Callithrix jacchus: one gene and its partners. The protein of the gene in region 2 interacts with the protein of the main gene of each other region in a pairwise test. Links are inferred from orthologs where the notes say so. Each region holds a gene or a part of one and is shown on either strand. Other genes may lie near its edges.

Region 1 (4,105 bases), on a different chromosome or scaffold from region 2:
TAGGGCCTGGCCCCGGGACCTGCCGAATGCGGAGGCTCCCGCACCCCGAACCCACGCAGAACGATCTCACAGGGAATGGCGGAGAGTTGGGGGACCCCGCAGCTGCGCGACCCCTCGCTGGAGCGGCTAGGCCGCCCCCTCGGACCCGGAAGGATCCGAATCTGCCCCCGTGACAGGGTCCTCTCCGCCGAGGACAGTTTAGAGGCAGGCGTACGCGGCTCTGCAGGTAACAGCGTCGGCTCCGGCCGGGCCCGGCCCCGCCCCCAACGACTCCGCTCTCTGGCGCTCACCCCTAGCCCAGTCCGCCATGGTGCCTTCCCCGGCTCTTCAACGCCGACACCGACGCGGCAACCGCCGCCTCGGACGTGGCGCAGTCAAGGGGCAGGACTTCCGGCCCCGCCTCCGCAGCGACCACGCCCCTATATGCCCCTGCCCCTTCCGCCTTGAACTCGCTGACTTCCGGCTGAGGGCTACGAGTTGGGAACCGCCGGTCGCAGGAGCGCGGCACGGATGTGCCTTTCATTTTCCGCACCGTCCCAGGCTGGCGTGCAGTGACGCGATCTCGGCTCACTGCACCCTCCGCCTGCCGGGCCAAGCAGCCCTCCCGCCTCGGCCTCCCAAGGTGCTGGGATTACTGGTGTGCGCCACCGCGGATGTGACGTTTGTTGTTCCTGTGAGCGTAGGGCGGGGCGGGGCTGTTGGCTCGGTGCCAGGACTACGGTGTGGGATAGACGCTTCCGTGGGTTAGGTCCTAACGGCGGGGAAGGATTCACAGGCGCGTCATGAGGAGGGAGCAGGCCCCCCCGAGCAGGAGCCCTGTTCCCGGCCACTTCCTGTCGTCCGGTGTCAGCAAAAGCAGCGTTTCCTCGCTGCCCGTTTTGAAGCACAGCCTCGTGTCCTTTGGTGTTTGCTTGTGTGCCTTCCCCTCGGGAACAAAAGCTCCGCGAAAGCATGGACCTAGGAGTCCCGTTCGCCTGCGTTCCCCAGCAAACGCCTAACGAACCCGATGGCCCAGGACTGAAAAGTCCCCCACTTCGGCTCCCCCTCCACACCCCATCCGTTCTGTGGAGATCCAGGGGCGGCGCTGTGTGTGTGGCAGGGCGAGGTGGGGGCTGAGATCCTTTCCCGTTGGAAATTCCTGCCCAAGAAGCGCGGGTCACAAGGAGAGGGGTCAGTTCGGTCGAGGGCGACTCGGGTCTGGAAACCTTCGAACCGCCGCTTCGGCTCCAGGCCGCGCCCCCTGAAGGCGCCGCCCGACGCCGCACCCCGTCCCGGCCTCCCATGCGCGCTGGCGCGGAGCTCTCTGGGCCAGGGCGGGGCCGGCGAATTGCGGCCCGGAACGGCTGGGGCGGGTCCCGGGGGCGCCATGGAGCCCCGGGCGGTTGCAGCAGCCGTGGAGACGGGGAAGGAGGATGTGATTATGGAAGCTCTGCGGTCGTACAACCAGGAGGTGAGCCGCCGCCGGAGGCCGGAGTCGGGCACGCGTGGCAGGGACGGGTAGGAGAGCGAGGCAGGGGCTGTATCCGGAGGCCGGGGTCGGGCACGCGTGGCAGGGACGGGTGGGAGAGCGAGGCAGGGGCTGTATCCGGAGGCCGGGGGGGGGGGCACGCGTGGCAGGGACGGGTAGGAGAGCGAGGCAGGGGCTGTATCCGGAGGCCGGGGGGGGGGGGCACGCGTGGCAGGGACGGGTAGGAGAGCGAGGCAGGGGCTGTATCCGGAGGCCGGGGTCGGGCACGCGTGGCAGGGACGGGTGGGAGAGCGAGGCAGGGGCTGTATCCGGAGGCCGGGGGGGGGGGCACGCGTGGCAGGGACGGGTAGGAGAGCGAGGCAGGGGCTGTATCCGGAGGCCGGGGGGGGGGGGCACGCGTGGCAGGGACGGGTAGGAGAGCGAGGCAGGGGCTGTATCCGGAGGCCGGGGGGGGGGGGCACGCGTGGCAGGGACGGGTAGGAGAGCGAGGCAGGGGCTGTATCCGGAGGCCGAGGGGCGGGCACGCGTGGCAGGGACGGGTGGGAGAGCGAGGCAGGGGCTGTATCCGGAGGCCGGGGGGGACGGGCACGCGTGGCAGGGACGGGTGGGAGAGCGAGGCAGGGGCTGTATCCGCGAGCACAGGGGACACGGCGGCGTCGGGGGGGCCAGGTCCGGGATGCGATGTTGAGGGGAGAGTGTGGGGTGCACCGCTGGGTGGCAGGTGCGTAGGGATGGGGGCGCGTGTAGACCCTGCCATCCGTTCTGAGCGGTGGCCGCCGCCCATCAGCGGACGCGGAGCCTGCCCCTCTCTGGACTTGAATTCACTGTTTCTCTCTGCAGCACTCCCAGAGCTTCACGTTTGATGACACCCAGCAGGCGGACCGGAAGGTGGGTGCTGGCCCGAGGGGTAAAGGGGCAGGGACGGGTGGCCCCAGGAAGAGGGACCTGGTGGAGCCGCTCTTCTCCTTGCCCACAGAGACTGGCGGAGCTGCTGGTCTCCGTCCTGGAACAGGGCTTGCCACCCTCCCACCGTGTCACCTGGCTGCAGAGTGTCCGAATCCTGTCCCGGGACCGCAACTGCTGGGACCCGTTCACCAGCCGCCAGAGCATGCAGGCACTGGCCACCCATGCTGGCATCTCTGTCTCCGAGGGCTCCGTCCCTGAGTCCGCAGACATGGATGTTGTTCTGGAGTCCCTCAAGTGCCTGTGCAACCTCGTGCTCAGCAGCCCTGTGGCACAGACGCTGGCAGCGGAGGCCCGCCTAGTGGTGAAGCTCACAGAGCGCGTGGGGCTGTACCGAGTGAGGACCTTCCCGCACGACGTCCAGTTCTTTGACTTGCGGCTCCTCTTCCTGCTGACTGCACTCCGCACCGATGTGCGCCAGCAGCTGTTTCAGGAACTGAAAGGAGTGAGTCTGCTGACGGACACGCTGGAACTGACGCTGGGGGTGACTCCCGAAGGGAACCCACCCAAGCTCCTTCCTTCCCAAGAGACTGAGCGGGCCATGGAGATCCTCAAAGTGCTCTTCAACATCACCCTCGACTCCATCAAGGGGGAGGTGGACGAGGTGAGCACTGATGGCAACCCGTGGCTGGGTCTCAGCTCAGCTCCAGCATTTTCTGGACCTGCTTGCTTCCCACTGGGTACCTTCGGGTTTCTGAGTGTCAGACATGGAGAGGATAGGATCTCTCAGCCTATTGGGACAAGGCCAAGGAGATGCCAGTTTCGGGCTGGAACCTCAGGGATCCCCTTCTGGCTCTTGCTGCCTGGCAGGAGGGCTGTGTGGTGTCAGGGGAGACTGTAAGAGATCCTTCACCATGAGGCCATGAGTGGGGCTGACACACTGTGTGACCTCCCCAGGGAATGTGTTTCTACTCAGGGAGGTGATTTTTTTTTTTTTTTTCTGAGACGGAGTTTCGCTCTTATTACCCAGGCTGGAGTGCAATGGTGCGATCTCAACTCACCACAACCTCCACCTCCTGGGTTCAGGCAATTCTCCTGCCTCAGCCTCCCGAGTAGCTGGGATTACAGGCACGCACCACCATGCCCAGCTAATTTTTTTTGTGTGTTTAGTAGAGACGGGGTTTCACCATGTTGACCAGGATGGTCTCGATCTCTTGACCTCGTGATCCACCCGTCTCGGCCTCCCAAAGTGCTGGGATTACAGGCACGCGCCACCATGCCCAGCTAATGTTTTTTGTGTGTTTAGTAGAGACGGGGTTTCACCATGTTGACCAGAATGGTCTCGATCTCTTGACCTCGTGATCCACCCGTCTCGGCCTCCCAAAGTGCTGGGATTACAGGCACGCACCACCATGCCCAGCTAATGTTTTTTGTGTTTTTAGTAGAGACAGGGTTTCACCATGTTGACCGGGATGGTCTCGATCTCTTGACCCCGTGATCCACCCGCCTCGGCGGAGGTGCTTTTAAGAAGACAGAGGTGGTCATCTTTTGCCCCCAGCACTACCAAAGTCACTTAGGAGACCCCAGGGGGTCAGGCATGGAGTATGGGAGCTGCACAGTCAGTGCCACATATTCTTGGAGTGCAAGACAGTAGAGCCTCAGCAGGCAGCAGTGGGATGAGTGGGGCTCCTCACAGGAACCCTTCTTTCTTTGGTCAGGAAGATGCTGCCCTTT
Region 2 (3,500 bases):
CAAAATGGAAAACTAGTCTTGAAGTTGAATTTGAACTGTTTAGTAACAGCTTACCTGTCACGAATGGTCATGGTAATCTTCTCGCCAAAGGCCTGTTTGAGCACCTTGTGCGCTTTATCAGAGCTCCACCCTGCACAGTTTTCACCATTGATCTGGAGTACTTGGTCCCCAAATCTCAGACCAACCAATGAGGCTGGAGAATTAGCCTGGACTAGCTGAACAAATATACCCTAGATAATAAGAAAATAAGTTTTGTCATTAACCTCTATTATGGTATGGTTCTAAAATGCTGGAAAATTAGGAAACAACTGTTTATGTTAAAAAAAAAAATCTACCCTGTGACAAAAGAAAGAAAAAACAGAAAAAACTATATGAGTGTAATATATCAAGTTATCACCTCAAAAGAAACCGAAACATTTATCAAGGCAGTAACTCCAAAGAAGAAAGCAGAAAAGTGAGATTTCAATGGCAATTTCTATACCAAATCATAACCCACCTGACCAACCACAACCCCCACCACTTTCAACTTGGAATACATAAGGAAAATAAAGGACAACTTTAATAAATGCAAGCATCTATGAGTCTCATAGAATACCAAATTATCACTACATCATCAGTCATATTTAGGGGACAAGCAAGTCACATGTTAGAAAGTTTGGTGAGTTCTTTTACAGCTTAATAAATGACAGTTTAAGGTCATAATTGTACCTTTTGAGCTGAAGTGTTCCTTTACCCATTTGTTACATTGTATAAAATCAGGTAAGATTAAAGTTTATTTGATAGCCTAAAAAGATGGGCATATTAAATCTACATGCACAGGCTTGTAAAGAACACACTATGAAATAAATATAGAAAACTCTAGTACTGTTAACCAGTAACTACACTTATATGGATAAAGTTACTTATGTAAAATCTCTATCAGAAATTGAACAAAATATAAATAGATAAGTATAAAAGAAGAATAAGACAGGTAGAATATAAGAGCATCTACAAGGCTAGACCCTTCCTACAATCCCAAACGAGGTAAGACATTTCTATCACACGTCTGTTACACTGTAGAGGGATAAGCAAGAATTAGGCAGCGCCCCATAAATGAACCAACGCGCTTGGCCAAGTGAACAAATCCACTCCAAGTGTTACCTACAGTGGGGCCAAGGGGTCTGTGAAAAGTATCTTTTCTCTTTAGGACAGAGGAAAGAACACAAGAGCAATCCTGGCATAAGGGGCAGCAATATACTGTATTCCCTGAAGAGAAAAGCAGAAAGGGCACCAAAGTCAGAGCATCCCAACCAAGCACGCAGATGTATTCTGAATAAGATATAAGTGAACAAGGCCATCAATGGCCTCAGCCCCCTGGGTGGGCAGGTGGGGTTGGGGCTTCCTGCCAAGATCAGGCTTCTCCATTTACAGCAGTGCACTACGCTAGAGATGTATGACTGAAACTGAATCCAGTGAGGTAATGGCTAAAACTATAAATCGGGGTAAAGACTCAGCATGTCCTTAACAATTCTAAATGGTTCCTGAGAGTTTCATATCTTCAGTATGGTAAAGTGAGAGGTAAAGTAATCATAAAGTCAAGTAATAGCTGCCCTAATTAGAAAAAAACTTTTACTCAGAAAATGACATATTAAATTCAAATAACAGTAAAAACCATCTCACAAATACTGATTGGTTTAAAAATGCACACATGTTGACATCAACTCTCATTGGTCAGTTTTTTCTTAACCTTCACATCTGCTCTATTTAATTGCCACAATTCTATACAAACTACATTATAATATATGTAGGCCAGTGAACTGTATTCCAGTTAGAGTACTCAGAAAAGAAAAATGTCTTTTAAAGTAATGTGGTCAGAAGTCCCAACTCTGCCTCTGCAAAAGAGAACATCCCCAATTGAACAAAATTTGTATATTTAAAATATTCTCAACTATAGATACACCATCATAGTTAAAGCATTTCCATTTCAAATTATTTTAACATTAGTCACTTATACAGGTATTAAAAATACTTACATTATCTATTGATTTAAGCCTGAGACCAATTTTTCCATCTTGATCCTTACACAAAATGACTTCACGAATCCCTTGCTTAATTTCTGCTCTACGAATTCCAACATCGTTACCAGTTACAGGAGCCACCATATAGTTCATACTGGAAGGTCTTGCTACCAACTGCTGACAAAACCATATACGATGTGTAAATATTTAGAATCACTCTCCTCGAAAAAAACAATGATAATTAACTGGAACATACTCAATTATGGCTTTCCAAAAAGCAATCCACAAATAATTTCCTTCAGATAAAGTTTTATGTCTATGAAAATGGCACTGGCTCCATTATTAATTCTTCATTAACTTATTCCCACATATATCATCTCTAATAGATTCAATGATTCTCTGTTACCTTTTGAATTCACTGACATTTGTTTCACTGGTACATTGGCTTGTCTTCATCTCAAATGCATTACCTTTGAACTTAAAGGCCACATGCTTGAAACACATTTTCCAGAGGATTCTTTTATATGTCATGATCTCTGACAATCTACTTATCCTTTCAGAATTTCCAAAAAGGGACAACCTTCCTACTCAGTGTTACTGAGAAGGCTAAATGAAAAGTGCGTATGTGTATGGACCTGGCACAAGTAAGACAGTCAACCATTATGTCTTCTCCCCTCTAATGACCATCTATGGATTAACAAATCACAGGCATAAACCAGAATGCCCCAGAATACCTATATTAGGGACCTGTGTCAGGTACCATGCTTCAAGTTTCTAATTTTTTTCAAGTTTTCCTGACCAAAATTGGTTTCTTATTTTAAGTGGAACCTTTCCCCAATCAAAAAGAAAATGGAATAATATCAGGCTATCAAAAAAAGGAAATCTTGACATTTGGGCACATGAATAAACCTAGAGAATATTATGTCAAGTGAAATAAACCAGACACAGAAAGACAAGTATTGTCTAGATCTCACTTATATATGGAATCTGAAAAGAGTCAAACTCACACAAGTAGAGTTACCTTCATTCTTTCCCCTGTCCACGTCAGGGGCTGGGGTGGGCAGGGGAAAGAATAAGGGAAATGTTGGTCAAAGTGTACAAACTTTCAGTTATCAGTACATTCTAGAGATCTAATGTACAGCATGGTAACTATAGTTAATAACACTGTACTGTATACTTGAAATTTGCTGAGAGTACCAAGTGTTCTCACCACACACCAAAAGAAATGGTAACTACGTGAAGTGACAGATATATTAATAACCTTGACTCTGGTAATGATTTCACGGTGTGTGTGTGTATCGATACATCAAGTTGTACCGAAATACACAGTTGAATATAAACAATTTTTATTTGTTAATTATACCTCAATAAAGCTGGGGGTGGGGTGGAGATCCAGATGAAACATCAAGAGAAAAAAAGTATGTGAAATGAAAAATTCACTAGATGTGGAGAGTTAACAGAAATCTCCAGCAACAACTTAAAGTAATTTAAAATTAAAAAGAA
Region 3 (3,548 bases), on a different chromosome or scaffold from region 2:
CTTTTTTTATTCTTTTTGGTATTTTTAGCAGAGACAGGGTTTCACCATGTTGGCCAGGCTGGTCTTCAACTCCTGACTTCAGATGACCGACCACCTTAGCCTCCCAAAGTGTTGGGATCACAGGTGTGAGCCACCACACCCGGCCATGGCACACAATATTTAAGAGATTGGCATGATGCCTGGCCTCACCATCACCCATTAAATAGGGCTGTTTCTGGCTACTGAGACCTAACAGATCTGTTTCCAGGGACCAACCTGAGTCTTAATTCAACTCCCTGAATTCTATCTCTACCATCTGGTAGGGACAGTTAACAGCCAGGCAAGCAGAGAACCCTCAGGCTCAACATAACCCACAGACAGCTCTTGTCTTAGAACAGATAAGAAAACCGGAGATGCAGCCAACGCCTTTTTCGCTGCCATCCCAATCCAGCCAGAAGCTTTATGAGAACAGATCCCACCTCATCTTCTGCACCAACCACACCACACACAAAACCACCAGCTGCTTCAAATAGCTTTATTTCCATTTGGTCCAAGGCTTGTAAGGGTAGTTAGAAAGCTGCCTAGTGGCTGGAGGGAGAGGCTTAGGCAGAAGCGCTGTTACTTTGCAAAGGCCCTTCCTAAGTGGCCGGGCTCAGCAGGCTCTTAGTCGTGCTTGAGAGTGAGCCTTTCAAAGAGATACTCGCCCAGCCCAGCCTGTGGGCTGGCCAGCCTGCGGAGGTTGGTCAGGTGGTCACCCATCTTCTTGATGATTTTCACTTCCTCATCTAGGAAGTGACTCTCCAGGAAGTCACAGAGCTGAGAGAAAAGAGGAAGAAATTAGAAACCCAGTCCCTGGAAAAGAGGGAGAGCTCCCAACTGCAGATTGAAATGTGACAGGTGTGAAATGTGGCTCTGAAGGAAATCTGCCCAAAGGGAGGCAAGGCTTGAGGGGTATGGTTGGGTAGCGATGGATGCAGTGGGTTCTTACATGGGGGTCCGTGCGGGCAGAACCCAGGGCATGAAGATCCAAAAGAGCCTGGTTCAGATTTTTCTCCAGGGCCATGGCGGCTTCCATGGCGTCCAGGGTTTTACCCCACTCATCTTGAGCCGGCTTCTATACAGGAGGGAAAGTGCTCAGAATACACACACCGGCACAAAGAACCAAAGTGACATTTCCCAAGAGTCGTTGGGGATCAAAAGGACATGTGACCCTTGTATTTATCACTCCGAACTCCGTCCTTTTTTTTTTTTTTAAATGGGGTTTCACCATGATGGCCAGGCTGGTGCCACCGCGCCCGGCTACTCCGTCCTATCTTTTACAACGACATCTATAGAAGACCACGCAGCGGTGTGGACTGCCGCATCATGGGGGCACTGCACGACGTGAGACACCATTTCCAGCTGTTAAGAACGCTTACAAAACCGAACTCAATCTCCCAGAAGCCCACGCGACATCTAAGCCCACAAGCCAAGGCGCCTCGCGCGCACGGACTGCTGGGAGATGTAGTCCATTACCCTCAAGCCAGTTACCTTGATGTCCTGAAAGAGAGCGCGGCCGCCACGCTGGTTTTGCATCTTCAGGAGACGCTCATAGCCCTCGCGTTTCTCCTCGGCCAATTCGCGGAAGAAGTGGCTCACGCCTTCCAGAGCTACATCATCGCGGTCGAAATAGTAGCCCTGCGGGAAGAGATGGAGGGAACAGTGGTTAGCGAGAGGCGAGGCCAGGGGGAACTCCGCCCTCTGTTTACCCGACCGGACAAAGAAAGCCGGCGCCTGCGCCGAGGGCCGGAGGTGCGCAGTTGGAGGAAATTAGGGCCAGGGGCGTCCCGGGGACTCACCAGAGAGAGGTAGGTGTAGGAGGCCTGCAGGTACACATTGACCAGGTGGTTGACGGCTGCCTCCACGTCGGTGGAATAATTCTGACGAATCTGGGAGCTCATGGTTGGTTGGCAAAAAGGAGCTAACCACAAAAACGGTGTTAGCAGGTTCCCAGAAGCAGGAGATGACCGAGAAGATGGTCCCGGAGGTTGCAACTGGAGAGGAAACTGGAGGGCGGTCGGAGGCTGGAAGAAAGAGTCCCCGGGATCTGTTCCGTCCAAACACTGTTGAAGCAAGAGACAGATCCGCGGGACCGCCGAACTGCTATGGGACGTGGCGAGGGCGGCTCCCTTTATAGTGCGCGGGCCCTCGGGGGCGGGGCGTTCGGGGCGGGCGATCGGCCAATCTGCGGTGGCAGGAGGCGGGACCGAAGGCCGTGCCTGACCAATCCGGAGCAGAAAGGAGTCTCAGCCCCCCGACCCGAAGCAGGGCGAAGTCACGCGCCTGTAACCCGAGGCTGTTGTGAAATGGGGGATGGGGGTTGGGGGCCCTGGGCCTGCTTCAGGGAAGTGAAGGGTTTCATGAGCGGGGTGAGGGTCCCTCTGGGAGCGAGAGTTGTATAGGAGCATTAAGAGCCCTGTGAACTGATGAGCCTGGGGTCCTGGGGTGTCTCGGGAAAGTAAGTCAGATTCTGGGGTTTCCGAGGGCATGGATTTTTTCTGGAACCTTGAGTCTGGAGAGGGGCACCTCAGAGGCGCAGAGAGGATCTCTAGTTGTCCTAGGTTTGCGCTGCGAGATAAGGGGGTCTCGGGATCCTTGGGAAGTTTGAAAGGCTGTAGGTGAACCCCTGGGGATCTCTGGGAGACGGAGGGTTGGGGGGACTGGAGCCCTGGGGTTTACAGAGGCGAGGGTTTACGATGCAAAGTCTGTATTTTTTTGGAGCCCTCCCAGAAGAGATCTTTACGTCTTTGAGATTCTCTGCAGCTTGGAAAGGGCAGTTGTTCTGGAGCCGTGGGGTTCACCCAGTGCTGGAAGCCCGGGAGGAGCATTGTACCAGGTGGGGTGACTTCTGGAACGGTGGACAGCCTTCTGGACCCTCCCAAGATTGGCTGGGCCTTTGGGGATACCTTGGAGCTCTTTCAGGGGCCCAGTGCTTTCCTGGGAGTGGACACAGGGAGGAATGCAATGTCTCTTTCGAGCTTTGCAGTGTCTCTGGGGCTGCATTTCCTGGGGGCTGTTTTGAAGCCAACCCCCTGGCCTCGAGAACTTTGAGAATTCTCCTTGGCCCTGAAACAATCTCTAAAGTTGCCCCAGTGTCTTGGCTGACATGTGCTCCTTCAGGCCCACCAAGAGAAGCTCTGCGTTGTGGACCGATGGACGAGACATCTGTCGTCGGCTGATGCGGATTTTTTACGTGGGCCTGGTCCATGCTGATTTCTGGGAGACAGTTGGCACAAACATTGACCCTACTTAAGCGCCCTGATCGAGGCAGCCGGTGCGCTGGGCAGGGAGCTGAAGCCACTGGGGTGTGGGGTGTGAGATCAGGTCCTGCCCTACCGAGAGCCGCTCCGAGCAGCCCCGGCGGGGCAGCCCCTGACCAAGGGGATCTGCAGATGCCCGGCCGGGCCGCTATCTGGGGTCCTTGTTGCAGGCAGCGGCTGCTGGGCTGCTGAGTCATGGTGAGCTCAGCGCAGGAAGGGGCTCCAAGGGGGACGGATGGGGGTGGGGCCACTGGCTGACCTCATCCCCTT
Region 4 (4,177 bases), about 39 Mb from region 2:
GAGGGCAGAGGCCATTAGAGGGACTTGGGCAGGCCTCTCTTTACTAAGGGTAGGGCAGGGGACGGACAAGGCAATACTCACAAAGGCCACGCCACTGCCACTGAGGCCAGTGTGGATGTCGATGTAGGCTTCGGGTACCTCCTCACACCGCCCACAGGCCTCCAGCAGATGCTGCAGGAGCTCGGTCTCGCTGCTGCCTACGTGGCGGCCCCGTGTCATCACGATGGCCCCTTCCTGGACCATGCAGGGCAGGTTGGGCAAGACCCGCAGCACCCGTGTGTGTGGGGGCAGCAGCTGGCCAGAAAGAGGTTAGAATCAGGGAGCCTGTGGGACTGGGCCCTGCTGGGCAGGCATCAGCAGGGGCATCAGGAAAGGTCCCCATCAGCTAGCTGCAGGCTCCCGCGGCTGCCTCCCAGGTACAGCACCAGGAGGGAAGCTTAACCTCAGCCATCGCACCCAGCTAGGCCACCTGGCCACCTCTCAGGCTCTCTGGAAGGCTGCCTGCCACCCAAGCTGGCCAGCAGAGCCTAAGCTGGGACCAAGGCCTTAGCCCAAGGGATACTCACCTCCTCCAGGGTGCTCAGAGAGACCCCAGCAGCCACGGACACTAAGATGTGTTCAGCGGTGACCACAGGAGCCACCTCTGCCAGAACAGCTGGCAGGATGTGGGGCTTGGTTGCAAAGATGACGAGCAGGCAGCTCTGCAGCACTTCCTGGTTGGAGTGGGTAGTCCGGCAGCCCAGAGCCTGAGCCAGGGACACCAGGACCAGGCCTCAGGGGCTGTGTGAGCAGCACACCCTCCTCACCACAGCCCTTCCTGCTGGTGGCCACACATTCCCAGGGTCCCAGGGCCTCTCCCATTGCAAGTGTCTAGACCACCCCCATGTCACCAGTGCCCGAGATTCACCCAGACTAGACCTCCTCCTCACAGGCAGTTCTGATGTCAGCACCTCCCCAAGCCCTGAGCCCTCCATCCCATGAATATCCGTGGCCACCATCCCAGCATGCACACACACACGTGCACACGCACGCACTCATGAGCACGCACTCACATACACACATGCACACACAATCACACTCACATGCACATACGAACTCACACGTACACACATACATGCATTCACGAGCACTCACAATGCACTCATGTGCACACACGTACTCACATGTGCACACACGTGGTACACGCACACACACACTTTGCTATGGCTCTCCACAACCTCCCTTTCCCCAGTCCAGACCAGCCAGTCTCCAAACTTCAGCTAAATAAGCCACCCATCCCTGGCTCTGGTAAGTGTCTTAGTTGGACGGGAGCTAAGAGTTATCCTGCGCTCTGTGCTCACTTGGAAGTGACATAGGTTCCTGTCTGTCGGTGCACTGGCCAGTATGTGCTGAGCTTCCACTTTTCCTGGAAAGGAAAAGGAAGAGGGGTTGAAGGGGTAGGGTAGGATGGCAGTGAGGAGAGGGAGGAACTCGCCTGGCCTCTCAGGCTCAGCCACACCTGGCCCATCATGGGCCCCCTTCTGGCCTCAGGAACCCAAACCAGGGATGCGCCATTCACTGGGCCCAGGCACTCAGATCCACTGACTCTACTTGGCAGTCAACGTCCCTGACTGCTGCTGGGTATGGAGGCCAGGAGCTTGCCTCGTTGGTGAGGACACAGATCCCTGGGGCCTCTGCCTCCAGGGAAGGGAAGGCTGCCTGAGGAGAAGAGGCAGTACTTCTAACACCAGGCTTTGGAGGAGTGTGGAGGGTACAAAAGCAGCTGATTTATGGCCACAGAAGGCCCAATGGGGGCCCAGGTTCCTCGGGAGGGAGAGTCTGTTGGGATGTCCACGAAGAGGCTAAATGCCTACTTGGTAGAAACATGCTTTTGTGGAGTACAGGGGTGGGGAGATAGGGTTAGATTTTGGTAAAGTCGAACAGGAAGACAGAAGTGTATACCACAACCTGAACGCAGCTACTAACCATGACAGTGGCAGCCATACACAGCAGTATTAGGCTCAACACTACACATATACATCTAATTACCCTGTACAGCTCTGGGAGGCATGTAATACTGCCGGGTTTCACAGGTAAAACTAAGACCTCATAGGAAGCTATTTTCCGATTCATCATGACTCCTCTGAACCCTGAAATATGGCTGAAGGCAGAGAGCCAAGAGTCACCCAGCTCTCCCCCAGTCTGCAGAAGGGCTTCTAAATGCCTGGAGAAGTATATGATCAGCGCAAACATCCCGGCTATAGAGCCGTGGTTCCGCCAGAGATGATTTTGTCTGTCTCCTCCTCCCACCCAGGGTGCATTCGGCCGTGTCTGGAGGCACTTTTGGCTGTCACAACGTACGGGTGCTACTGGCAAAGGACGAATGGTGTCACTAGAGCCAAGGTGTCTGCGGAGAAGCCCTGCTGTTCCCCAGAGAGGGGCTGGTGCACAGAGAAAACCAAAGGCTGGGAGACATGAACCTGGCTAAGGCCACGCGGCCAGGAAGCCGGCCACGGAAGTGGCACCAAGCCACGTGTAACTCAAATCTTCCCACAGCCACGTGAAAAAATTACGAGCAAACAGGCGTGTCCCCGGCTGAGCCCAGCGCAGCGGAGGCCCGGGTGCCTGGGCGCGCGCCCTCCGCCCCAATCTCTCGGAAGGAAGCCTCCCACGGGGCTGTCCCACGCCAGGCCGCGAGCCGAGCTCCGCGCCGCCCCACCTGCTCTAATGAGGCCCTGCGCGATGGCCCCCGCCATGCGACCGGCGCCCACGAAGCCCACGCGCCGCGGAGCCTGCCCTGTAGCCGCCATCTTGTCGCACTGGCCGCCGCCGCGCTGGCCGCCCATCCACAGGCCGCGCCCCACCCACAGACCTCGGCCCTACCAATGGGACACGCCTCCCCGCCCCCCCCGCCGATTGGCTGCCGGGACCTCACGCTCCGGGCCCGCCCGGCTTTTTGTCCGCTCTCTACTGGTCCGCAAGGCGCGGAGGCTCTGCCTCTCGCTGCTTATTGGCCCGAAAAGGCTATCCCCCCTCCCCTCACTGCCCATTGGCTGAGAGGAACCGAGGGTTGGCGGGGCGGGCGGGGCAGTAGCGCTCGAGCTGCCGGGGTTGCCTGGACCGGTCCCAGGCGCACGTGCGACGAACAGATCTTCGTTTTTCGGAGGGGAGGGGTTGCGAAGCGGATTACGGGGCTGGTCGGGAGCCTGCGGTCCCTGAGGCTCCACCGACCACAGACGGGGGGCCGCGAGGCGGCACTAGGGGCGGAGGCCCAGGTCACAGAATGCTGGCCGGGGCCAGGGGAGGGGCCGACGGGGAGGGGAGGGGGACAGTGGGGGAGCGGAGATGCTCGTCATTGTTTTTGTTTTTTGAGACGGAGTCTCGCTCTATCCCCAGGCTGGAGTGCAGTGGTGCGATCTCAGCTCACTGCACTTATCTCCCAGATTCAAGCGATTTCCCTGCCTCAGCCTCTGGAGTAACTTGGGATTACAGGCGCGGGCCACCACGCCCGGCTATTTTTTGTATTTTAGTAGAGATGGGCTTTCACCTTGTTGGGCAGGCCGGTCTTGAACTCCTGACCTTGTGATCCGCCCGCCTCAGCCTTCCAAAGTGCTGGGATTACAGGCGTGAGCCACCGCTCCCGGCCGTCATTTTAATGATACAAGAAAAATTAGGTTTGAAGATCTGAGTCTGGTTTTGTTTTCGTCGTCCAATCTAAGGCTTCATGTTACAGACGTTTTGTTGTTTTAGTCTGAAGACTTTGGCATTTCCTGAACTCTTCAGTAGTTAAATCCTCTCACTGATTCAACATTTACTGTGCAGTTGCAGCCTCTGGGCCCTGCCCTAGGCCTGGGCAAGACCACCACACAGCAGCAGATGGGACAAGCCAGATCACAGCCTACCGCCCTGTTTGTTGGCAATGGAGACAGAGCAGTCGGCACATGCAGGGGATGGCCAGGGTGTCAAGGCTCTGAAACAAATGACGTGGAGCGGGACAGAAAGCCACCAGGAGGCTGCTTCGGCCACCACAGCCAGGAAATCTGGTGGTGCAAAGCATCCGCTTTGCACTAGCTCTCAGTGCCAGCAGCTGTCTCTCCTGCCACCCAGGATCCTGCCAGCCCCTTCCAAAACAGACCCCCTGGATTTTCTCCCAGGCCAGTGATGGCTTGGGACCAAGTCTGTGGAGGTGAGAGGGGCC
Region 5 (4,214 bases), on a different chromosome or scaffold from region 2:
TCCGTCTTATACTGCTTTCGTTGTACCCTACAGGCTTTGGTGTGTTGTTTCCATTAAAGTAGTGGCTTTAAAGTAACTATATACACACATGAAAGCATTGAAATATCAACACCTGCGATGAAGAAAGAATTGAGAAATAATGTTTAGCGTAAGTATGTCCTAAACACGCATGGTACATACTTACTAAAAAATTATCCATTTGTTATCGGAATCTAAATTTCACTGGGCGGCCTATATTGTATCTGGCATCTCTACTGTAAGGTTTGAATGAGGCAACTGAGGCCAGTTATTGAAATAAAGAAATTTAATTGGCTCCTGGGCGAGGTTCTAGGGTCCGGGGAAAGGGGGCCAGAGAAGTCACGCTGACTTCCTGGGGCAGGGTGGGGTTTTTATGGCTGTGAGCAACTAGAAATAGCTGCGTGCTCCGATTGGCTCCAGGGAAGCGGGATTGGGACGGAACGGGCCGCCATTAGTTGGTGGGTTGCTGGTCGGGTTTTCCCGTGCGAGAGCCGGCCAGGGTTGCATCAGCCAGAGCCTTCCAGGGGAGCCGTGCCACAGAGTCGGGTGCGAGTCAGGTGCTGAGTACAGAGGTGGGTGTGTCCGGCCTCCCAGCGAGGAGGCCTCCCATCTACCTCAAAGCCAAGCAGGAGAGAGTCTGCAGTCCTATCTTCCAGCGGACGCCCTAGCCCAGGACAGGGCCTGGCCAGGGGCAATCGTGCAAGGCACGGATTAGAGATGCCATTCAGTGTGCCAAAGGTGTCGCCAGACCTGCGTGCAATCAATATTATTCATGTTTTTCTCTAAGGCACCTTTAAAAATATTAACCTTTTATTTGGAAATCCAGATTCAGAGGAAATTTCAAAGACGGTACATAGAGGGTTCAAGTACTCGTCACTCAGTTTCCTCCAAAGGTTCTATTTTGTGTAAGTGTAGAACACGATCCAACAATATCACGTGCCTAGGTCTGTGCCATTTTATCACATATGTAGACTCCTTTAACCACCGCTACAATCAAGATACAGAACTGCTTCGCCACCACGGAAAAATCCCCCTCCTGCTATTCCTCTGCACGCGCCGCCACCTCCGGCTAATTTTTGTAATTTTGGGGAAGGGACCCAGTTTTGAATTAGCTCCTGCTGTTTACTTCGGTTAGCGTGGTGGAGCTGGCAGAGATGTGAGGGATACTAAACACCCCCAGAAGTCACGCCGTGGGACCCCGTTTCAGGGCGAGCAGCTGGCGTAGGACTCGAGGGGCAGCCGCGGCTCGGGCGGAGGGCTCCCCAGCGACAGCTCTCCGCGTCCGTGGAGGGCCCAGCCCCGCGAGGAGGAGTGTATGGTCTGGGCCGCGGCTCTCGCGCGCGCGCTGGGGCGGTGCTAGGGAAACCCTTGGAGCCCCGCCCAGCGGTCCTGAGGAGGGGGCGGTGCCTGGAGGGTTGGTCCGTCCCGGCTGCGGGTTTCTAGTCCTGGCGTGGCGTGGGGACAATTAGGCGCCACGCCCTGTCACTTTGCTGCGCGACGGTCGGGAGGCCGGGGACGGAAGCGTCACCCCTAGACTGGGCAGGGCGCGCAAGCTCACAGTGAGGTCTCTCAAAAGATCCACCTCGGTTTTCTCATCTGGAAAGTGGGGCCTCCTAATCCTCCCCATCCCCGTGCGGGCCAATAGGTGTCCGGGGTTTGGTGACCCCACGCTGGAGGCCTCTGCAAAAGGGGACTGTCCAGTGACCCGGAGACGGGGCCCGCGGGGGAAGTCTTCAACTGAGAGGCCACGCAGGCTGGCAGGAAGCCGCTCCACTCCAGGGGGCTCCAGGAGAGGGGACCTCCTTCCCCGAGACCCCGGCCCCTCAGGCAGGCTCCGCCAGAGTGGCTCTCGGGTGCTTTCCCAGAAAGTGCGGGGCGGGCCGCCACGGCTTTCAAAAAACCGGCACACAGCGAGAGACAATAATGAGTCGTTCTCTTGTTTCGCGCAAGCAGAGTCGCGTCCGCTTTGCCGAGGCCCCGCTCACAGACCTCAGAGGGCTCTCAGGCTCTCCCGGGCTCCGAGAACAATGCCTGTCCTCTCCGCGCGCAGGAGGGAGTTAGCTGACCACGCGGGGTCGGGGCAGCAGAGCCGGCCGAGTCCCGCGGCCGGGTCGGGGCCGTACTTTTCAGCTTCGAGCGCCTCTCTGACCCGGGCCGCACACCTGTTAGGTCCGGGGACCTACGTGCGCCGCGACACGGCGGGAGGCGAGCCTCACCGCGCCGGCCCCCTCGGCCCTCCCGGAACTAGTCTCCGAGGCCGCGGCGTCCACCGGAGCGGAGAGCGCTGGTGCCCCGGAGCCTTCGAGTCGGGGGCTAGAGCGGCCAGGCCTCCGAGCCGGGTTGGGCCCGGGAAGGCGACGGCTGCGTCACGCGAGGGGGCGGGGCCGCCACGGGCGGAGGTCGGAGCCGGAAGCGGAAGAGGCGCTCGGAGCGGGGAGTGGGGCCTAGCAGCAGCTGGAGCCTGGAAGACGGTAAGTGTGGGCTGGGGCCCGGGGCGGCAACAGCGGCGGCGGCGGCTGGGGGTGAGTCGGCGGGGCGGGCGCGCTGGTGCTATTCGTCTCGGCCTACACCCTTTCTTTCTCCTCTTCGGCCCACTTTGGGCCGCGGCCCCGACCTCTCACCCCTGACCCGCCGCTTCTCCACCGGAGGGCGGTCACTGCAGACCCTGACCTGGATCCCGCGGTTTTGAAGGCGGGGCCTAAGCGGCCTCTGAGGCTCCTTAAGGGTTCAGTTTGGGCCCTGCGCCTGCCCGCGGAATGGGGTCGGGGTCCGAGGTGGAATAGCCAGAGAGGCCCTTCAGACCCCTCCCCTCCCCTGGCTTCGCGCTTGGTCCTCAGACGACTCCTCTCTTGGCGGCCTGGAGTTTGATTCTGGCCCAGTCTGGCCCTCCCTCTGCCTCCGGGTCTGTACCCGGCTCTCCCCTCGGCGCCACTGGTGGCCGTTACAGAGGGTGGGACTCTGAGACCCCTGGGACCTGGGGCGGCAGGAAGGGAAGCGAACGAGGGCGCAGGCCCCCCTGCGTATTTTGTTGTGGTGATGGAGCCGTTCCAGTCCGGGGGATGGGCAAGGCCAAGCTGACGGTACAAATCCCTTGGCTGCACCTCCGTCCCGCCCGGGAGTCTCTGGCTTTAGTTCCGGGTATGAGTGCCCTGATGTGGAGCTGAGGTGGAAATTGCCTGAACCAGGTCCCCATCGAGGCGGAGTTGGCGGCCTTCCAGCTTCCCTCCTTGATGCCCTTGAAAAGGAGGAGCGTTTCACCCGTTGGTGGTGGAGGCTTGCGAAGTGGCAGGTTTGAGGTTGCAGGGGTAGGACAGTGCCAGCCAAAAATAACCACGGGTGCTGGGGTGGCTGGAATCCGGGAGGGCAGCCGCTGACCTGGCTGGCTGCTCTTCTCGTCAGCCCAGTTCTCTGGCCAGGAACAGCAAATGAGAAGCTGACAAGGCCTGTGCTCAAAGAAAAGTTGACATCCTTGGCTTGGTTTCCTTTGCATCACTTTTTTCTTCATTGTGCAGAGCAGAGCTTCCCAAAGCATAATTGTGGCCTTTAGCTACTTTTTTAACAAGCTTTTTGCTGAGATTTTAGAGAATCGGAGATAATTGAGAAATGGGCCATAGAGCCCTGGCTGGGAGGATGACATCTACTATTTCCAATATTTTACTTGCCTAGAATGTGTTAAAGGAAGGATAATCTTCTCTATTATTGCTTTGTGTGTGGTCTTTTATAATTCTCATACTTGTCATCTTTGCCAGGCTGGGAGATGTTACCTCCATTTTCCAGGCATTCTAATCGAGGCCTAGAGTGACTTGTCTAAAGTCATGAGGCTGGTATGTGGCAGCCCTCGATTTTAGTTGAGAGTTTATTGGCAGAGCTCTCTCCTCCCGGCTTCCTTGGAAGGGACTTACAAAATGTCTGTAAGGCATTTAACACAGTCCCGAAGTGTTACCCGGAACCTTTTAAGTGTTCATGAAAAGCTGCCACTAGTACCTCTGTGGGCATAAAGCTGTACTAGGCATTTCACTTATGGGACAGACATAATTAATCCTCACAGAACCTCGTAAGAGGTTACTTTTCCCTGTTGCCAGAGGAAGTTGATGGTCAGAGTAGTGTAATAATTTGCTGAAAGGCACACAGCTAGAAGTGGCATGCCATGATTCAGGGGGACATCTATATGACTCTGAAATTGTGCTCTCCATTGA
Region 6 (3,500 bases), on a different chromosome or scaffold from region 2:
CCAGTCCTTATAATTTTGAAGCAAATCTTAGCCATTGTATCATGTCACCAGTGAGAATTAGAGTGTTTGTCTTGTCTACCAGGACTTCTAGCTTTCTGATTTTATGGGACTCTGTTGGACAAAGTGACTGCAGTTTGTGGCCTTACCAGCATTTGTTCTGTGAGCCAGCCCATAGATCCCCAACACCTTGTGCCCTGTGGAGCATTGGGGATATTTAATGAATCCCATTTGGACTGTTTTTAGAAGGAGAAGATGAGGAGGATGAGGAGGATGAGGATGGTGAAGAAGAGGAGTTTGATGAAGATGATGATGAAGACGAAGATGTAGAAGGGGATGATGACGACGATGAAGTCAGTGAGGAGGTCAGTGCAGCTGTTTTCTACCCTCCTTCCTATTTGTAATTAAAACAAGTGGGAGTTTAAAAAAGATGACAAAGAAAAGAAAAACACCTTTTGAAGAAATTAGTATACCTGTAAATAGATTTACAATATGAATCTGGTTTAGTTTTTGTCTGCCTTTAAATAACTATTAAATGGAATGCCTTCTGAACTCAAATTAGTATGGTTCCTGGCTGTGCAAGGTGAGTTTTGGTCCTCTCCGGGGAAGGAATGAGTTGAGTATTCAGGGTGGTGAGAAAACTGGAAATGTTCAAAATTGATGGTATGTCTGTTCTTTCATTGAATTGTAGGGAAGTATATGTTTACAAAGTCTAAACTATTTCTTATATATTCAGTAAATATATTCCCACTATATTAAAGAATTAGGGGTATAAAATTAAATGAGATTGTGGTCCTGCCCTGAAAAAGCACATAGTCTAGTTTATGGGATACCCAGTAATAGAGTATCCCTGAGGAAATGAATGCTGTACGAGGGCAGGAAAAAGCAGTGTCTTGACTTTGACCCTCAAAGAGGTTTTTGGGAAACATGCAGACAACAGTAGTTGTTAGCAAAAAGCATGCTCTTTTGTAGTATAAAAATAAGTCTTGGGGTTCATGTGCTCTCATTAGGTGTATGATTGACATTAAGGTCATGAAAAAAGCTTTGTATATGAATGGGATATAGAAAGAAATTTTTGTCTAAACTTGTTTTGAAATTTCAGATTTTAAGATCATTTCTTGAATTATCCAAAGTTATATACTAATTAAACATCTAGCGAATGAACTGCTTCTAAAAAAAAAATTTTTTTTTTTTTTTTTTTTAGAAAAATTGTAAAATAAAGCTCATTGAGGAAAATCAGTGGGTCTTGGTACATCCAAGTAGATAGAAATAAAATTACAGTTTCCTGCTTGATACTGTTGCATTTATTTGTACTTCTCGGTTTGGCAGAATTTGTACTATTTGCACTTCTTGATTTGGCAGAGTTAATCTGATATTATACTGTTATTCTCTAGGAAGAAGAATTTGGACTTGATGAAGAAGATGAAGATGAGGATGAGGATGAAGGTGGGCCTAATGCATGCATTTTGATCATTCTCGTTAAAAATTAGATGAAAATATCTATTATTTAGAATTTGATACCACCAAGAAGAAAATAAAATATCCTTGGCTCTGGCAGTCTACACACACATTCACATTCTTGTTTGTATCATCCCATTATTGTGTCTGTGCTAGTGCAGGCTTCCTGCTGCTACAGCAGTTATTCTTGTCTGATTGCAAGGGTCCTGTTGGTCTTCAGTCCCCATGGGGTTTTTTGTTATTATTTTTTTGAAATGGAGTCTAGCTCTGTCACCCAGGCTGGAGTGCACTGGTATGATCTCTGCTCACTGTAGCCTCCACCTCCCAGGTTCAAGGGATTCTCTGCCTCAGCCTTCTGAGTAGCTGGGATTACGGGCATGTACCACCATACTCAGTGAAGTTTTATATTTTTAGTTGAGACAGGGTTTCGCCATGTTGGCTAGGCTGGTCTTGAATTCCTGGCTTGAAGTGATCCATCCACCTCAGCCTCCCAAAGTATTGGGACTACAGGTATGAGCCTCCGCACCCAGCCTGGTCCCCATGTTTTAAATGGAGGGACGATGTAAAGCCATTTGATTTATTGCCAAGTGTGAGGTTTCTGTGTTTGGAGTTATTTCATTTTTTTAAAAATAGATTTAATAATTGAACCATAATTTTCAGGATATATAAATAGATACATCACTTTCCCAGTTTGATCAGTGTTAGTCCTTTCCCCACCACAACCAAGACTAGTGAAATAGCCATTACTTATTTAATAGTATTAAAAGTTTGCCAGCCTGGACATCATAGACCCTGTCTCTACAGAAAATTTAAAAAGCTGGTACTGGGTGTGATGGCTCATGCCTATAATTCCAGCACTTTCGGAGGCCTAGGTAGGTGGATCACCTAAGGTCAGGAGTTCAAGACTAGCCTGGCCAACATGGTGAAACCCTGTCTCTACTAACAACACAAAAATTAGCCAGGCATGGTGGCATGTGCCTGTAAATCTCAGCTACTCAGGAGGCGGAGGCAGGAGAATCATTCGAACCCAGGAGGTGCAGGTTGCAGTGAGCCAAGATCACACCACTGTACTCCAGCCTGGATGACAGAGCAAGACTCTGAAAAAAAAAAAGCTGGGCATTGTGGTGCACGCCTGTAGTCCCAGCTACTCAGGAAGTAGTAGCTGGGACTATAGGCATGAGCCCATATATTGTTTGCGCCTAAGAGGTTGAAGTTGCAGTGAGGCTATAATGGCGCTGCTGCACTCCAGTCTGAGTGACAGAGCGAGACAATGTCCCAAAAAATAAAAGTCTCATGGTTGAGTATCAGAGAATCAGGTGTTCACTGTGCCACTGGCTCATGGTTTCTCAGCATCCACTTTGTCAAGCTCTCGATTACATTTATACTAGATATACCCTGGTTAGGACCTTGTCACTGCCTTAAAGAACCTGTATGAAACATGATTCAACATACAGTTAATTTCATTAAAATAACCATGGATTTTATTAGGTGAAAAGATTTGTCTATGTGTAAGTCCCTGTGTCTTGACTACATAAATACTTTTAAAAAGTCCTTTTTTAGTTAATATTAGAAGTGTTTTGTGTGTTACTTAATTAACAGAATAACCTTTTAAAGTCAGTACCATTGTCCCCATTTTACAGTTGAAAAAGGCTTAAGGAGGTTAAGCTTGTCCAAAATCACTTGAAAATGAGTATGGCTTGAAGACATGCTAGATAGCTGGAGGGGGTTTGTTTGTTTGTTTTGCTGGAGACAGTTTCACTCTTGTTACTCAGGCTGGTGTGCAGTGGCGGGATCTCGGCAACCTCTGCCTCCTGGGTTCAAGCACTTCTGCCTCAGCCTTCCGAGTAGCTGGGATTACAGGTCTGTGCGAGCATGCCCAGCTAATTTTTGTGTTTTTGGTAGAGATGGGGTTTCACCGTGTTGACCAGGATACTCTGGAACTCCTGACCTCAGGTAATCCACCCATCTCATCCTCCCAAAGTGCTGGGATTATAGGCATGAGCCACTGTGCCCAACTAGCTCAAGTTATTAGTATGCATTTTAAT
Region 7 (4,020 bases), on a different chromosome or scaffold from region 2:
CTAGGATCGCAGGCATGAGCCACTGCTGTAATGGCTGTTTCATATATTAGCTAGAGGCTGAGTTCAGTATATGAGAGGGCAGTAACTTACTGTAAAAGTTAAACTGTACATGTTTGAAAGATATGTGTAAACTGTAGTCATATATGAATGTGAGATATGAGATTATTCATAAGACAGTAACAGGAAATCAAAGTACCACATAAATGCGGGTGTGGAATGAGAAGTAATTTCCTAGGTCACCTCCCCAAGAAAGGACACAGTGGGTTGTGAAATAAAAATGTGAAGGGGGAGCACATCTCTTTTAAGAACCTTTCTATTGCAGTCTACAAGCTCTAGGTCAGTTGTGAAGACCATCCAAGCGTTCTAATACGGCAGAGTTAAAACCCAAACTCTAAGGAATGCCAATACCAGGAGGAAAGAAGGGATGAGTTGGCAGGACACCTGTCTGGACCAACAATGTGATACGGGTCAGACAAGCTCCGCCTCCACAACTTCACAACAGCTTTTGGTGTGAGAAGTGGATTAAGTCATTTCACTGCTGCTTGTAAGCTGGCGGATGCTTCAGGAGTGTCCACCCCAGGGAGCAGTGCTGACTCTACAGGGGCACCCTGCGGCAGTCAATGCCAAAATCTCACCAAGGGGTGAGTGAGGTTCTCAGAACCCATGGTGCCGAGCCGGGTAATAAAATACTGCACGTGAGTTCTTCTGCGAAGACCAGGAGGGGGCTTCGAACCCCAAGAAAGGCTGCAAGCTGAACCAGAAGCTCTAACCCAAAGTTCCCTTCACAGCCAGCCACATTGGCACTCACTGAATCTGCGCACCTCACGAGTGCCGACGATCGTCCCGTGATAACTGCCATGTACCTGACGGCACGGGCCACCGGGTGCCTCACTTGGTTCCCATTAAAGTAGACTGCGACCCAAACGCAACAAACCTAAGAGTTGGAAGGCGCAAGTTCCTCTGCCAGCGAGCTCACTCAAGCAACCAGAATGCTGAAAGTGCTCTCCACGCCGGAAGTGCACTAATCCGCAGCACGTGGGGTTGCCAGGGCGCGCTTCACGTGACTGGGCGGGGCCTCGGGAACCTGGTAGCCAATGGTAGCCCGAGGGGGCGGTGCCTGTGACGCTCCAGGGCCTATCCCGGAAGTAAGGCTGGGGTGGGGGCGGGTAAGGGCGGGGAGGCTGGGGTGTGGAAAGTGTGGCGGCCCCGCCCCGGCTCTTGGAACTGCCGCGGCCGCCAGCGCCGCCGCCGCCGGCGCCGCAGCTGTGGGGGACCTGCGCGGGTGCGCAGGCGAAAGGCGCTCGTAGCCAGCTGAAAGGTGAGGATCTGGGGAAAAGCTGATGGGGATGGGGCCAGAGCGAGGCAGGGCCGGGGAAGGCGCCCAGAGCCGAGCGCTGACCGAGGGAAGGAAGAAGAATGGATAGGGGAACGGAGGCAAGCGCGGGACCCGCCGGGGCTCAGGCCCTGGTGGGGCCGAGCCGGGCCGGGCCGGGCCGAGCCGAGCAGAGCCGGGGATGCCGGCAGAACAGGAGGCGCTTGTGCGGCCGCAGCGGCGGCGCTGAAGGGTGGAGGGCGCGGTGCGCGCCCGTTAGCAGAGGGCCGGGTGCTGCCGGCCAGGTCCTGTTACTCCGCATCCTTCGCGGGGACGTGCGGCCTGGGCTGGGTCCCCCGCAGTAGGGTTCGGGGCGGCGGCGGAGAGCTGGGTGGCGCGGGAAGGTCGCCGGCTTCTGCGTTGGGGCGATGGGCGCCAGAACCTGCTGTTTCCAGCGTGGAGGAGCGCCCAGGGCGGATGTCCCCACCCTCTGCGGGCTCCTCTGCGACTTCTCATCCCACCTCCCCAAACAATAGCTGGAAAAGTTTCTAGAGGCCAGAGTTAGAGAGTGCCCGCTAGTCTAGGGTGGGTGTTCTATACATGCAGAAATAACAGGCCCATGATGCTTGGCACATAACTTGTCCGAAATGAGACGTTTCCCTGCCTACACACCCATTGTTAAAAAGCAACCACAAACTTTTTGTGTAGTTCACACAGAAAAACTACCACCTCCCCAACCCACCATGGCGGACGAAATTGATTTCACTACTGGAGATGCTGGGGCTTCCAGCACTTACCCTATGCAGTGCTCGGCCTTGCGCAAAAACGGCTTTGTGGTGCTCAAAGGACGACCATGCAAAATAGTGGAGATGTCAACTTCCAAAACTGGAAAGCATGGTCATGCCAAGGTAAGTGCCCTTGCTGTTCAGGCTTTGGCTTCGGCCTTGGGATTTTGCTCATTTGTATTCTGTTGCAGATCATGAGATTACTATACTTAAAATTTTGTAATAAGCACTATTTTTTTCTGTCCCACAATTGCTGAGTGATCAGTTATTACTTTGAAAACTTAAAGGTAGCATTCCTTTCTTGGACCCTTACAATGTTTCATTAACGGGGAACTGAAACTTTCTTGAATGGTAGTGACCTAGGTCTATTCAGTTTACAGATGAGAAAACCTGTTCTACTAATTCTAAGAAACCTACACTTTATTTTTCTTGTCTACTCATAATTGAATCACTGGACTATATTGGGTCTTGGCAGGTCATGATACTCTTTAGTTGTTACTGCATCTTAATTGTATGACCATTACTTTTTTTTTTTAAGAAAGTAAAATTAGATGACCTTGGAAGGAGGAGAAAAAGAACCTGTCGTAATCAGCGTTGGTATTGTACTCTTGTGTGTGTAATGAGTGATATACTTGGCAGAGATTAAACAGGTTTCCTGTTCCCCTCTGTTAGGTTCACCTTGTTGGAATTGATATTTTCACGGGCAAAAAATATGAAGATATTTGTCCTTCTACTCACAACATGGATGTTCCAAATATTAAGAGAAATGATTACCAAGTAAGCACTGATTTTTCTTTAGAATGTTGCTTGTTTCTTCAAGGTACAAATACTTCATACTATCAACAGCAATTTGACAAAACCCAAGAGTGGTTTTGTAGGTTTTTCTAACCAAGTATTAGGCACCACCTATCTTAGAAATTGGAGAAATTATGATGTTTAACATGTGTTCCTTTTATAGGATTATTGCCAGCTTGCTATTTTTTCATATTCTTGCATTTTTTAAAAAGTCAAATACTTATTGTGTTCCTCAGGCCAAGTGACTGCATATTCCAGCTAAGTCCTATGCTTTGTAAAAGTACCATCCTCTCTGTTGTAAAATATTTCTAATTTAGATAGCTCCCTCCTGGATGTTTTGTTTCTTTTCACTGATCAGACTTAAGACATTCAAGAAACTACTGAAATTCATGTTCCTACCAAGTTTTTCATGTTAATGAACATGAGTCAGAACTTGACATTCTTAAGTAGGGAAATAAGCTGAAACCCATAAATATAAAGGATAAAATACACGGTCACCGAGTATGATAAAGAAAACACAAAAACTATATAAATGGTTTAATTATATTTAGTGACCATGCTGTGACCTTTTGCTAACTTATATATGTAAACCTCAAGTTTCAGTTATACATTGGGGAGGTCATATTTAATGATAGCATCTTAGTGTTTGGAATATCGATGGTAACCAAATAATTGACCTCATAGGATATGGAAGCTCAGATTACTCAAAGCTAAAGCTTTTCTTGAAAGTCTTCACTTTTTGTATCAAGCATACCATATATCAAACTCATTTTTGCTCATCTTACATAGTAAAAAATGCAGAGTTGACACTGAGATTTGTTTTATCCAAATTAAACTGACTTTTTTCTGTACCTTTTATTGTATTATATAGATTTTTTTAATGTTGCTATCAGCTGCACCCAATGATTTTCTTTTGCTGTTTGTCCACCTGCAAACATAATTTTTGGAGTTTCAATCTAGTAACACTTATATTTTCACTTTCCTACCTGTCCTAAATGTTTTCTAGATTGCTTTGAAGTCTTTGTAGAAATTTGAATTGTCTTCATATAACAGCAAGTGTTTTTTTTGTTTTTTTGTTTGTTTTTTAATGAGGTAGATCTGGGTTTGGATCTAGTTCTGCCACTTTCT

Evidence for each region.
Region 1: the proteins of SDCBP (region 2) and RIC8A interact in binary tests that used the Homo sapiens proteins (3 or more experiments, as listed by UniProt). The link is inferred for Callithrix jacchus from reciprocal best matches to the Homo sapiens genes SDCBP and RIC8A.
Region 3: the proteins of SDCBP (region 2) and FTL interact in binary tests that used the Homo sapiens proteins (3 or more experiments, as listed by UniProt). The two-hybrid records come from large-scale screens. The link is inferred for Callithrix jacchus from reciprocal best matches to the Homo sapiens genes SDCBP and FTL.
Region 4: the proteins of SDCBP (region 2) and PYCR3 interact in binary tests that used the Homo sapiens proteins (3 or more experiments, as listed by UniProt). The two-hybrid records come from large-scale screens. The link is inferred for Callithrix jacchus from reciprocal best matches to the Homo sapiens genes SDCBP and PYCR3.
Region 5: the proteins of SDCBP (region 2) and CLK3 interact in binary tests that used the Homo sapiens proteins (3 or more experiments, as listed by UniProt). The two-hybrid records come from large-scale screens. The link is inferred for Callithrix jacchus from reciprocal best matches to the Homo sapiens genes SDCBP and CLK3.
Region 6: the proteins of SDCBP (region 2) and ANP32B interact in binary tests that used the Homo sapiens proteins (3 or more experiments, as listed by UniProt). The two-hybrid records come from large-scale screens. The link is inferred for Callithrix jacchus from reciprocal best matches to the Homo sapiens genes SDCBP and ANP32B.
Region 7: the proteins of SDCBP (region 2) and EIF5A2 interact in binary tests that used the Homo sapiens proteins (3 or more experiments, as listed by UniProt). The two-hybrid records come from large-scale screens. The link is inferred for Callithrix jacchus from reciprocal best matches to the Homo sapiens genes SDCBP and EIF5A2.

What each region holds. Positions count from the first base shown.
Region 1 is NC_133511.1:131,723,590-131,727,694, reverse strand, and holds the start of RIC8A (chaperone Ric-8A), read left to right. Parts: upstream 1-1,305; 5' UTR 1,306-1,366; coding exon 1,367-1,450; intron 1,451-2,308; coding exon 2,309-2,356; coding exon of another isoform or gene 2,357-2,444; coding exon 2,445-3,035; intron 3,036-4,089; coding exon 4,090-4,105. Other genes in the region: BET1L (BET1-like protein), read right to left, coding at 291-309.
Region 2 is NC_133517.1:14,818,546-14,822,045, reverse strand, and holds part of SDCBP (syntenin-1), read right to left. Parts: intron 2,175-3,500; coding exon 2,013-2,174; intron 231-2,012; coding exon 55-230; intron 1-54. UniProt on the Homo sapiens protein: Multifunctional adapter protein involved in diverse array of functions including trafficking of transmembrane proteins, neuro and immunomodulation, exosome biogenesis, and tumorigenesis.
Region 3 is NC_133523.1:42,797,869-42,801,416, reverse strand, and holds FTL (ferritin light chain), read right to left. Parts: upstream 2,124-3,548; 5' UTR 1,920-2,123; coding exon 1,818-1,919; intron 1,657-1,817; coding exon 1,510-1,656; intron 1,094-1,509; coding exon 968-1,093; intron 796-967; coding exon 643-795; 3' UTR 501-642; downstream 1-500.
Region 4 is NC_133517.1:53,988,005-53,992,181, reverse strand, and holds the start of PYCR3 (pyrroline-5-carboxylate reductase 3), read right to left. Parts: upstream 2,801-4,177; 5' UTR 2,790-2,800; coding exon 2,699-2,789; intron 1,406-2,698; coding exon 1,341-1,405; intron 747-1,340; coding exon 567-746; intron 295-566; coding exon 82-294; intron 1-81.
Region 5 is NC_133509.1:21,643,564-21,647,777, reverse strand, and holds the start of CLK3 (dual specificity protein kinase CLK3), read left to right. Parts: upstream 1-1,414; 5' UTR 1,415-2,045; coding exon 2,046-2,489; exon of another isoform or gene 2,490-3,077; coding exon of another isoform or gene 3,078-3,098; exon of another isoform or gene 3,099-4,214. UniProt on the Homo sapiens protein: Dual specificity kinase acting on both serine/threonine and tyrosine-containing substrates. Phosphorylates serine- and arginine-rich (SR) proteins of the spliceosomal complex.
Region 6 is NC_133502.1:146,138,947-146,142,446, forward strand, and holds part of ANP32B (acidic leucine-rich nuclear phosphoprotein 32 family member B), read left to right. Parts: intron 1-243; coding exon 244-362; intron 363-1,391; coding exon 1,392-1,443; intron 1,444-3,500. UniProt on the Homo sapiens protein: Multifunctional protein that is involved in the regulation of many processes including cell proliferation, apoptosis, cell cycle progression or transcription.
Region 7 is NC_133518.1:16,140,956-16,144,975, forward strand, and holds the start of EIF5A2 (eukaryotic translation initiation factor 5A-2), read left to right. Parts: upstream 1-1,220; 5' UTR 1,221-1,318; intron 1,319-2,020; 5' UTR 2,021-2,055; coding exon 2,056-2,220; intron 2,221-2,769; coding exon 2,770-2,874; intron 2,875-4,020. UniProt on the Homo sapiens protein: Translation factor that promotes translation elongation and termination, particularly upon ribosome stalling at specific amino acid sequence contexts.